3 linked regions of the Coturnix japonica genome follow. The protein of the gene in region 1 interacts with the protein of each later gene in a pairwise test. Links are inferred from orthologs where the notes say so. Each region holds a gene or a part of one and is shown on either strand. Other genes may lie near its edges.

The links.
Region 2: the proteins of AGTRAP (region 1) and SENP2 interact in binary tests that used the Homo sapiens proteins (3 or more experiments, as listed by UniProt). The two-hybrid records come from large-scale screens. The link is inferred for Coturnix japonica from reciprocal best matches to the Homo sapiens genes AGTRAP and SENP2.
Region 3: the proteins of AGTRAP (region 1) and MIEF1 interact in binary tests that used the Homo sapiens proteins (3 or more experiments, as listed by UniProt). The two-hybrid records come from large-scale screens. The link is inferred for Coturnix japonica from reciprocal best matches to the Homo sapiens genes AGTRAP and MIEF1.

Annotation. Positions count from the first base shown.
Region 1 is NC_029536.1:4,903,889-4,907,635, forward strand, and holds the start of AGTRAP (type-1 angiotensin II receptor-associated protein), read right to left. Parts: upstream 2,893-3,747; 5' UTR 1,801-2,892; coding exon 1,690-1,800; intron 1,416-1,689; exon of another isoform or gene 1,216-1,415; intron 1-1,215. UniProt on the Homo sapiens protein: Appears to be a negative regulator of type-1 angiotensin II receptor-mediated signaling by regulating receptor internalization as well as mechanism of receptor desensitization such as phosphorylation.
Region 2 is NC_029524.1:3,359,012-3,362,658, forward strand, and holds part of SENP2 (sentrin-specific protease 2), read right to left. Parts: intron 2,901-3,647; coding exon 2,855-2,900; intron 2,619-2,854; coding exon 2,558-2,618; intron 2,418-2,557; coding exon 2,277-2,417; intron 2,178-2,276; coding exon 2,046-2,177; intron 1,761-2,045; coding exon 1,557-1,760; intron 1,426-1,556; coding exon 1,346-1,425; intron 985-1,345; coding exon 900-984; intron 647-899; coding exon 551-646; intron 322-550; coding exon 259-321; 3' UTR 1-258. UniProt on the Homo sapiens protein: Protease that catalyzes two essential functions in the SUMO pathway.
Region 3 is NC_029516.1:46,186,637-46,190,383, forward strand, and holds the start of MIEF1 (mitochondrial dynamics protein MID51), read right to left. Parts: upstream 2,313-3,747; 5' UTR 1,630-2,312; intron 1,110-1,629; 5' UTR 1,105-1,109; coding exon 961-1,104; intron 840-960; coding exon 659-839; intron 1-658. UniProt on the Homo sapiens protein: Mitochondrial outer membrane protein which regulates mitochondrial fission/fusion dynamics.

The sequences.
Region 1 (3,747 bases):
ACTAGCACAGCTCATATATGACCAATCTACTATCCCACCACCAAGAAGTCCATGAATTGTCATGACTGCAGCTCCCAGCATTTTCACTGTGAATTCCCCTTTACCCCCTTCCAACCTGCCTCGCTCCAATATTAACAGACCTGAAGTCATCTTCTAGGAACCTAAAGACCCAATCCTGCCATGCTACACCACTCTTTTCACTTCCAGGGACAACACTAGTGCCCAAATACTGTCACATTTATTGACTCAAAATGTCTACACCTGCTCTAACTTCACACAGAACTCGTGGCTTCAGGAAAGTTAATGACCCATGAAGCTGTGACGTGAGTGAAACCAGAAGGAGCGATGCAGCTGCAATGGCTTGGACTGTCCAGCCAAGATATCACAACATAGATATCTTATCATAAGGCAAAGCCCTGGTTGCACTGCAGCACCCTATCACATCTGCTGAGCATTCAGCACAGACCGCCTGAACATCAAACGCTGCTCAAACAGGTTTTTAATAATGACTATTTTTTTTAATTGCTCATGAAAGCCTACAAAATGCTCCAGCACCACCCGCTGCTTCCCCCTCCTCCCAGATTGCACCGCAGAGACCAGGCAGAAACTGCTAATCAGGAAAATACAAGATGTTCTTGGATAAGAACGGAGACATGCAAATAGCATTCACCCAAGAGACGATCACAACATCAGGGAAATTCTTAATTAGGTAGTATTTAATTGCACGTTATGCACTCACAAGACCCCTCAAGGCTCAGCAGTTAATATAATTACGCAGAGTGGGTTTTATTATATATATATATATATTAAGCTGTCTAGATCAATATTGCAGTTATTAAATTAAGAAGCTGGCTCCATCACCAGCATAACGTCAGGTAAGCAAGGGCTGGTAATCCAGGGGGCTGCTGGAAGAAAAACAAAGCATTTCCTTCCGAGCTATTAGTCTGAGTTATCTGACAGCTCTTCAGGGCACTATGGAATTGGCTGATGGTCTCGGTATGCTTTCACACAGAAAACGGAGTGTTAATGAAAAACATTATTTAAAGCTGCAGTCATTACGTGAGATAATTTGCAGGCAGCCTCCTGGTGAGACAGAAGAATTCATTCCCATCTGTTCAGGGGGATATATCCATACCTAAGAGCATACATTGCTTTTTTGAAGAGTTCTTTGGTACAGGAACTCATTCTGCCTGCCTGGAGGTATTCAGAACCCACCTGGATGCTTTCCTCTGCAGCCTCCTTTGGGGTGCTTGCTTTAGCAGGGGAGCAGCACTAGATAATCTCCAAAGTGGTTGCCAACTCTTTGAGTTGATCTACTTGATCTACTTTTCAAGTTAGCTTTGCTTTGAGCAGGAGGCTGGGCTAGGTGACATACGTAGGTCTCTTCCAATCAAAATGATGCTAGGATTCCAGAGCTAGCACATAAAAACACCCGAGAACAAAACATCTGATTTCAGGCATATTCATTGTAGGGCCTTTTCCAAGCTCAAGCAAACTTGATATTTCAAGATTCAGAATAGCTATTGCAACAATCCTAGCCATCAAACACTCACTGCAATAATAAGGTGATGCTGCTTTCCACACTTTGCTGAGCATTACTACCAGAGCTGAGCCAGTAGATGCTGCTCCATGAGTGAATTCTTCATCTACTGCAGGTCAAGGCCTGCCATATTAATGCTACAGTCCTACCTGCGGGTTAAAGAGGGACCTCAAGGCTGAGACTTTGCTACAATCTGGCACAAATGCTGCATTCACGCAGGTCTTTGGAAGTTTTCTTCTTCTGTCATTAGGTTTATCCATCTGATCACAGAGAAACTGTAACCAGTTAACGCCAATGCATAGAAGTAGTGTGTTATTCCCAATCCCTCTCTGAATGAGAACCTTGCCAACCTTTGGGTTGTGTTTCAGAGCAGTAGGCCACGACTCAGAGACAGCACAAAGATGCAGGACAATTATTAACTCACTGTGTTACAGCCCTTGAATCCCAGAACGCAGCATGGCTTAGGTTGGAGAGAACCTGAAAGATCTTTTGGATCCAATGCCCTGCCATGGGCAGGGCTGCTAATCACTAACTCAGGGCCCATCCAACATGACTCCAAGGATGGGGCATCCATAACTACTCTGGGTAACCCATTTCAGCACCACACCACCCTAACCAGTACTTTACAAAAGGTACTTCCCAATGCTGAGAACACTTTGGCCAGGTCAAAATCACTCTTACCCAGGAGGAGATTTAAGAATGCTTGCTAAAAAGCAGGGAGGAAATGCAACATTTTACTTATGTTGTCATGGTGACTCGTTCATTCATGAAGCATCTCTTTTCTTCTAGCTCCTGCAACCAAACTGCAAAGCTTTCAGCAACGCACCCAAAACCCCAACAGGGAAGCTGGGAAACAAGCAGCACATCACCCTAGAAGGCTCTGAAAGTATAACTAATGGAGGAAAAACAGGGGAAAGAGTCTAAAAGGCTTCAGTCTCACGAGCAACATGAAGAGCAAAGGGGGCCGATTTCAGCCTCTGTGTGAGGAGCTGCTTCCTCCTGAAGTTAACGGGTAACTTCCGAAGTCCTTTTATTTCCCGTTTCTCTACTAAACATCGCACAAAAGTTTACAGCCTCCCTCATTCCACGCCCTCCCCCCCTAGAAATTAAGTTAAAACACAGAACAGCAGTTTCTGTCGGTCTATACAAGCCCACAAAGCCGTCACCTTCCTGAGGTGAGTTCCCTGACCAGCACCAACTTCGCCTCCTCAGAAACCCATTAAGGATCACAGTTGGGGGATGGAGGGGGGAATTGGGAGGTAGAAGGCCGAGGGGGGGCCCACCTGGGCGACAACCCCTACTAAAAACCCCTCCACAAAAGGCAGAAACAGCCACTTCTCCCTCCACAAACACCCCCACGCCTCCACACAAGGCACCATACCAGCCTCAACGCCCACCCCCGTACTCTTTTCTCCCAGCCGACCCACCTCGCCCCACAACAGCTCAGCCCCACATAGGCTCTGCCCCATATCCCCCCCCGTACCTTGAGGCTGACGGCAGGCAGCTCCATGGCAGCGGCCCGCCCGCCCCGTGACTCCCACCGTGGGGCTGCTCCCCGGGGCCGCCCAAAGGAGGGAAGGAAGGCGGGAGCGGCCGGGACACCGCCTCCCTCAGCGCCCTGCCCCGGGGGTGGATCCCAACATGGAGGGGAACCTCGTTGGGGTTTTTGTCTCAGCTGTCAGGCTGTGAGGTGTTAGACGAGGAAGATATGGAGGATATGGAGTGTGTCCAGGGATGGGAATGGAGCTGTGTGTGGGAGCGCAGTGTTATGGGGAACAGCTGAGGGAAGGAGATGGGTCAGGCTGGGGGAGAGACCTCATTGCTCTCACAGCTCCTGAAAGGGGGTTGTGGCAAGGTGGGCTCAGCCCTTGAACTTTGTAACAGCAACAGTATGGCCTTAAGACACAGCAGGGGAGGTGCAGGTTGGGTATTAGGGACAATAAAGAAGGAGCAGCTGCCCAGGGAGCAATGGGGTCACCATCCATGGAGGTGTTCAGTGTGGAGATGTGGCACTGAGGGATGTGGGCATAGTGGGGTGGGTTGGGTTGGACTTGATCACAGAGCTCTTCCCCATCCTTAAGGAGCCTATGATTCAGAATTGGGACTCCTTCGCCTCTTGTTCTGAAGGCTTTTCCCATTTTAGAGCTGGGGAAGTTGTTAACTAAACGACCAACCCCAACCCACAGTGTACAGCTATGAATTCCTTT
Region 2 (3,647 bases), on another chromosome or scaffold:
TTCTCAACCACTCCCCTGGTGAAGTCCCAGCAAACTCTCAAAGACTTTCACTCAAGGCACATCAGCTCATTTCAAAGAGAGGCACTGTCTCCGAAATTGAGGAAAAAACAGTTAAACAATACTTTATAGCTTAAAACAGGAACATTTTCAAGTGGCTGCGGCCTGGTTCAATAAGGCATCGCAGAAATAAATAATATGACAAAATATAAGTTAGTGGCTCCGAGGTCATCTGCGGCGATACTCGTAACGCTTCACGTCTCACAGCAGCTGCTGGTGGATTATTTCCCACACCATCCTCTTGCGGAAGTAAGGCATGTTTTCCTGAAAAGAAGAAGAGAACAAACCCATTAAATATGATAGCAGAAATTGACAGAAAATACATACCGTGTTCTTTCACACCAAGTTCATTTTAAGCACCGTCACCGCGGCCACTGTGAGTACAGCGTGGACTGCTATGTCTCACCCCCGCTTTGGTGCTGCAGGGATGAAACACAACCACGTTTATTTGACTATTAACAACAGCTTAAGGCAAACTCTAACTTTGGCTCACCTGAGTGAAGGTGAAGGGTTTGTCTCTGGAGACGTAATCTGCGTATTTGCACATAAAAACTCCGCAGTCACTTCCATTTGATTGCTGAGGAATTTCCTAAAGAATGGAAAGAAGGTGGAGAATTTTTTCCATCTTAAAAGAAAAGCGACTTGGAGGCAGCACCACCCACCACCACCACCACATTTTCTTGTGGAACCAACATGCACAGCCCATCCCCACACACAAGGAGTACACCCAGTGAACCACACCTTCACACCCCTTTAAAGCTTAGACTAAGTAAGAAAGCATTAAGGCCTTTGTAATGAGGAGTTAGGGGTTCACATTTCAGATCCCGGTAGTGCTCACATACATGAGGCTCCATGCTGCGAAGAGTCCACTCTGAAGATGACAGCTTGACTTTTTGTTTCTCCCAGCTTTCTTCTTGCAGGTATTGGCTGTTTAAAACAAAATAAAACAACTCTTCACCTCTGTATTTTAGGCTGACAAAAAAGAGATGCTGAAAAGACCACAGGAAGCCAAATGGCTGGACAATAAAACATCAGTGGATATTTAGTGCCATAAGGCATTTGGAGGAGCAATTCAAACTTTAAGTCTGCATACACTTCATGGTGATGCTTTGCACATGCACATACTGGAAACCCAGACATGTATCACACATGGAGGAGGTGATGTGAGAACGGTTTCTATTCCCTAGCTACAAACAAAGCAAAGGCTTCCAGTTGTGTTACAGATACAGAAACCTAAAAGCCTTCTCTGAGCTCACAGTGCAAAAGCACTGAGCGAGCAGTTACTTACAGTACAGTCTCACAAATCTTGTTTCCTTTTTTTCCAAACGAGTCAAAGTAGGTGATAGTTTTCTTTCTGACATCGACAACCTGTTAATGGAAAGTAACCATGAGACACCCCACAAGCCTATGCAGCAAACAGAACAAAAGCTGGCCGACATTTCTTGCTTGCTTGCTTTCTACCTGCTTAATTCTTCAATTGAAATAAAAGCATGACTCACCACCAAGGTCCAGTGTGATCTCAGGTGAATAGGAATCAAAATGATGTCCTGGTTGAACAGATTCACGTTTCTGGTCCATCTTCTCACTGCTCTGTAGCCATCAGAATCAAGTTTGGGATAGAAGAAAGTACTAAAAGCATAGACGGTTGGATAGTCATCTTTTTTGCCTCTTTCCACCAGAAGATTCATGTAGAAGTTAACGACCTGCATGGTAAAAAGCAATCATGAGATGTAAGAGACTGCTCACCAAAATAAAAACCAAAAAGCACAAAACCAGAGAAGCAATGCTTCCAGAAGACTAACTTCTAGACCAACCCAAGAAATACAGGAGCTTCTAGAAACACTCAGCCGTTATGTACCTAAAATAAGACTCGACAGATGTTTATAAGTTCTGCAGACCTCAAATAACTGCAATCAGACCTGTATGCATTGAGGACATTTAAAAAGACATACACAATGGGAACATCACAGTGCCACAGCTAGTTTTACCTCATCATTTAGCCAGCAAAGTTCATTCAGTGTATGGATGTCATCACGGGTGAGACTGAGTCTGAAGGCGCTGCTCATGATCTCCTCCCCTTTACCTTCGCCCAGCGCAGCCATGATCTCTCTCTCCATGGCCTGAAGCAAGCAATTGAATGGGAAAGAACCTGTGAGCACACTAACCTATGTTCTAATTCTAGCTTTCTAATTTGAACAACAGACTGATAATTGTGGTACCTCTGTGAGCGGAGGAAAGATTTCTCTTTTTTTAGGTCTTGGGAATTTCTTTTCTTCCACATCATAGACAGATGGTTTTTTGGTCTGAACAGGTGCCAGGTGCAATTCAAAGGAGGCCTCCTCTGAGCTTTCATCTCCACACTGTCTCAGTTAGACAAAAAGAAGTCAAGCTAGCAAGCAAATTTGCTAGGGGATTACACAAAGTCTTGTTCATGTATAAAACTGGAAGTGTGTTTTGAATATGCATCCATACTCCACATACATCTAAATAACAAGCTTACCCCTGTGCTGGCTTGTTTCTCCTGTCCTTTCTTGTCTTCCTTTTCTTCTGGTGTGTAGTAACTGCAAAAGGAAATAGAGAGAAGCAGGCTGTAGTAATATCATCCTGCATAGTTCTTATACATCCATCTTCTGGTTAAGGAATGCGTTACCATAGATCAGCTATACAAAAATCTCTCTCACTGGCTGTGCTTACTGCAACAAGACACGAGCCACATCATTGAGATGAGTATGACTATTCTCTTTCTGGACACTGCTGGAACACACAGAACAAAACCAAAGAGGAATCAAGACTCTACCTGGTCTCATCGTTTTCCAGAGACTGGCTTGAGCTGCTGTCATCATCTGCACAAAAAAGCATACAAGAAGTCAACAGTTAATGTACATCAGGCAAGCATGACTCTCAGATTATGATGGAAAAGACAAAAAAAAACCCAACAACCCTGCTAATAATAACTACAAGGTTATGAAGTTTAAACTCTGTCAAATAGGCCTCCTAGATATTATGTGAAAGTGTATGAGTTCTGATGTCCAGGATCTAAAGTCACTTTCAGTAGTTACATTCTTCAGCTTACCAGAAAAGATGATCTACAAGAGAAACTAACTTGTTATAAAGAGAGGTGCTGTGCTAATCCAGGAAAGAAGCAATCTGCTGGTTTATAGGAACTGCTGAGTCCCAGCCTGAACCACTGATTGAGCACCTGGGAAAGGACCTGGCCAGCCCGGGGAGCACAGGTGAAAGCAATGAAGCTGTGAGACTGGAAGAGGTGGAGCCTGGCTGCACCTCTCTTAGACCCCGTTTAAGGGCTGACTGCCAGGGGGGGAAAGATCCCTGGTCGGAGATCACTCCCTTGTGAGCCTACATCTTCAGAGACAGGTGAGTGCTTTTTCTTTTGTAACATTATCTCATTTCATGCTAGTCCCTTTTGCTATTTCATTTCTATATCGCCTTTCTGCTGTGTTAATCTTTCAGACTGTAACAGCTGGCTTAGTGTTCAAGCTCTGATATCATGGATGTGGTCATATTGTTCTAAGAGCCAATGTAAGTTACAGCAAGTCTGGCATAGCACAAAACATACCTTCAGGACTTAA
Region 3 (3,747 bases), on another chromosome or scaffold:
GCAGCACTAAAAAGGCCAAAAGTGTTACAGAAATTATTAGAAAGATCACAGAAATAACATGGAAAATAATGTTATAAATGACTAGTACAGTCAAGCTTAAAGCAGGGAGATTTAGGTTAGATAAGAGGAAACAATCTTTTACAGTGAGGGTGGTAAGGCAGTGGAACAGGTTATGTAGTGACGTGGTTGATGCCCCATCTGTGGAGACCTTCAAGGTCAGACTGGATAAGGCCCTGGGCAACCTGATCTATCTGTGTTGTCCCTGTTAATTGCAGGGGAGTTGGACTAGATGGCCTCCAGAGATCCCTTCCAACTCTAAGGCTTCTGTGACTCTCTGCTTAAGTATTTTCTTAAAAGAGGCAAAAGAATTGGAAAGGCCCAAAGAAAAGCAACAAAGTGTCAAAGAAAAGTCTGAAGGAGAATAAAATTCAAGTCTGTGAAATAAAGGAAATGACAAATGCCAATAGAGATGACTATTACTCAAGGTCTCAAATCTGACTTCTAATCCTGGAAGCTAACAATAGATCAACTTCAAACAACAGCATCAAAATACTAGGCTAGAGAGAGCATTCTCCTCTTCCAGTGTTTCTTTAAAGGATTAACAGGGTTGACAGGCCAAAATGATTCTGCAACATGGAAATGCCGTACTGCTCTGTACCTGTGTCGGTGGCCGAACTGTCGGTGGGAAGGGTCTGCAGGGAGCGGCTGAGGTTAGTCTTCATGTCCTGGCTCAGTAAGCGAGAGGAGGATCCCAACCAATTTGGCTCTTCCCAGCTTCTCTTTCCTGACTGGTTCAAGCGAGTGGGGCTGCTGGGAGCACTGATTGCACGATCATACATCTAAAGGAACATCAACAAGCACAGTTTGAGTTGACAAGAGCCCGGTGTTTTTGTGTTTCTTCCCCCATCTAGTGCCAACATCCCATGTCTTTTCTCTTCCCTCCCCACATCATCAGCTCACCCGTTTGACAGCCAGCGTGGCAATGCCCAGCATGGCAGCTCCACCCACGCCCAACACAAGCCGTGCGTTGGACAGCACAAAGTCGATGGCGGTGCCAATGCCATTGTCGTCCTTTTTGCCTTTGCGCGGCCCAGCGCCCGCCATCTCACCTGGAAGGGAGCATCAAACAAATGGGTCACAACAGGGCAACTCTAACTGATGCTTCTTAGCCAAAGCAAACCCATTCTACACCAATTTATCCTCTCATCCTCCATCTAAGGCCTGCAACTTCGCTCATGGATATGGCTGCATGGACTGCCAAACTCTTGTCTTTGATAAAATATCAAGAGCTTCAGAGTGTCCACTCTCAGACAGTGGCTGGCACCAGGTGTTTCAAAAACATCCAGGGGTCAGCACTGCAAACCACAGTGCACCACAAAGGGAACAACTCCTCGCTTCCACCTGATAGTTACTCCTGCACTCAAGGCTGCTGGGTTTGGTTTTCATGTAAGTCCCATATAACAGAAATGTTAATGTTCTCCCAAACTGATTCAAGATCACAATTCTGAGGCAAAAACAGCTGAAGGGGCAGAACCTGCCTGAATTTGTCTTTTCTAAAGCCAAGTTACTATTTAAAAACTAACATTCCTACTGCATCTGATCAGAGTTACATCAGCATAAGGGACCTACCTGCGACCTAAAGCATTTGTAGAGAGGAGAGCCCTCCTGGTGCGGCTGTGGAGGCACCTTCTGGCCAGTTTCAAGGTAGCAGCGGGCAGGAAGCAGCCATCGTGCCGTGACAGGTAAGAGGGTGTTTTAGAAAGAAGAGTGTGTGTTTGGGGGGGGGGGGGGGGGGGCTATTACACCAGCCCCCCCAGCTTGCTCTGCAGGAAGGCCTGCCCCTTCTCCAGCTGCCTCTCCTTGTCCTCCAGCCGCTGCAGCCCCCGGTTCTTGCGAAACTCCCGGCGGATGGAAGCCAAGTAGAAATCCCGGTCAGTGTAACGCAGCCCGCGGCCCTCGCGCAGCAGAGCCCGGTAAAGGGTCAGGACGGCCTGCCGGGACCACGCTGCCATGGGGAACGGCCGGCCGACCGAAAGAGGGGGAGGCTGGGGCCGCTGCTCCCTTCCCGGAGGGATGTTCCGGAGCTGCCGGGGCCGCGAGCTCGGCTACGACGGACCCAGCGGGACCCCGCGGCCTGGTCCTCCCGCAGGCAGCGGGAAGCGCCGTGAGAAACACCCGGGGCCTCACGGCACCCCCATCCTACAGCCGCCGCTCGCGGGGTCACCCAGCAACATGGCCGATCCGCCTCCGGGTCGTGACCCCACGACCAGCCAATCCCAGAGCGGCCGGGACGAGGCCGCTAACGCTCTCCGCGCGGAGGACTTCCGGCCTGAACGGGAGGAGATGGCGGCGAAACGCTGCTACCCCCTGGCGGCGGGGCTCCGACGTACGGGGAGCGGGAAGGGACACAACGCGCCGGCAGTGCGCCCCCTGCCGGCCGGGAGGAGCACACACACCCAGTTCTCCTCCCAGTTGAGACTGGGAATGAATGGCACGGGCTGTGTCCTTCAATCGTCTGCCACAACAGCACCCCCAGGGCAGCCTGCTCCACTGATCAACACTGCCAGAGAAAAGCTGTGTGTGACAGAGGAGAGCCGCATCACTTTGCACTGTCCTTAACGACAACAGATATGACAGTGATAGCACTGAATGGGAAGAAAACCAGAAGCTCCGGTCTGGCTCGGTCTGTGCCGACCTCCTCTTGTTCATTTCCTTTCCGAGATAAACAGCCCCAATCATTTTGATCTCTCTTTGTGAGCGACTTGGCCATGCCCCTAATCAGCCCTTTCCGAGAAAGGCTTGAGTGAACTGCAGACAGTATTCCCAGAGAGGCCATGCTGCTGATTTACATAATAGCATTATCATATTTTCCATATTATTCTCCTCTTCTCCCTTCTGCATGCTGATGTTTTGTGTGTGCTCTTTTTTAACCTGCATCCACTCACAGAGCCCAGATCTGTGTGATATTCATACCCTTCCCCGAGTTGCTACAGTCAATCTGGGGCTTCATAATATCTCTTTAATTTCTTACTTGGCATTTGACAAAGTTAAACCTCATCAATCGCACCTTATTGCACATTTGCCACATTTGCATTTTACTTACAGTCCTTTCCGATCTCCTATAGAGTCTATAGCTTTGAGTCATCATTTAAAAATGCTTAGTATATTGCTCATCCTCTTTTTTTTCTCCTCATCATCTGCTTAGACTCTGAGCTATATGGCACATCAGAGGCAGCCTTTAGATTCCCTATTCCTATATCCATATTCCCTACCCTTAACCTTGTACCAGAACCAACACTGATTTTTGAACTCTCCATTCAGATTCCTCCCCGGGTTGCCACATAAACACTTTGCTCCTTGCAGCAGTTCTCTGAACAGGTGCACTGATAAGCCCAGTCCCTGAAACACCAAAGTCTGGATCAAAGCATTCACAGCTACACGTGGCGAACCCCTGTTGCAGTACAAATGGTATCAAACTGCTCCGAGATGTACAGCAGGGTGGGCTTTGAACCAGTGGTGCTGTGTCAGGTGATTCCAGCCCTGCTCCCCATGCTCTCCTTCACCCCACCGAGTCCCATGCAGAAGATGTCAGACTGTGCTTCCTCTCAGGATCCTCCTGCATGTACCGAGTGTGAGAGCAAAGGTGTGACCATGGCACAGGAGAGCAAGACCTCCCTCCTCTGAAGCACAGCTTGTTTTGAGCTGCGTAGAACATGCCAAATGTGCTGACCTTCCCAGGCAAGGTTG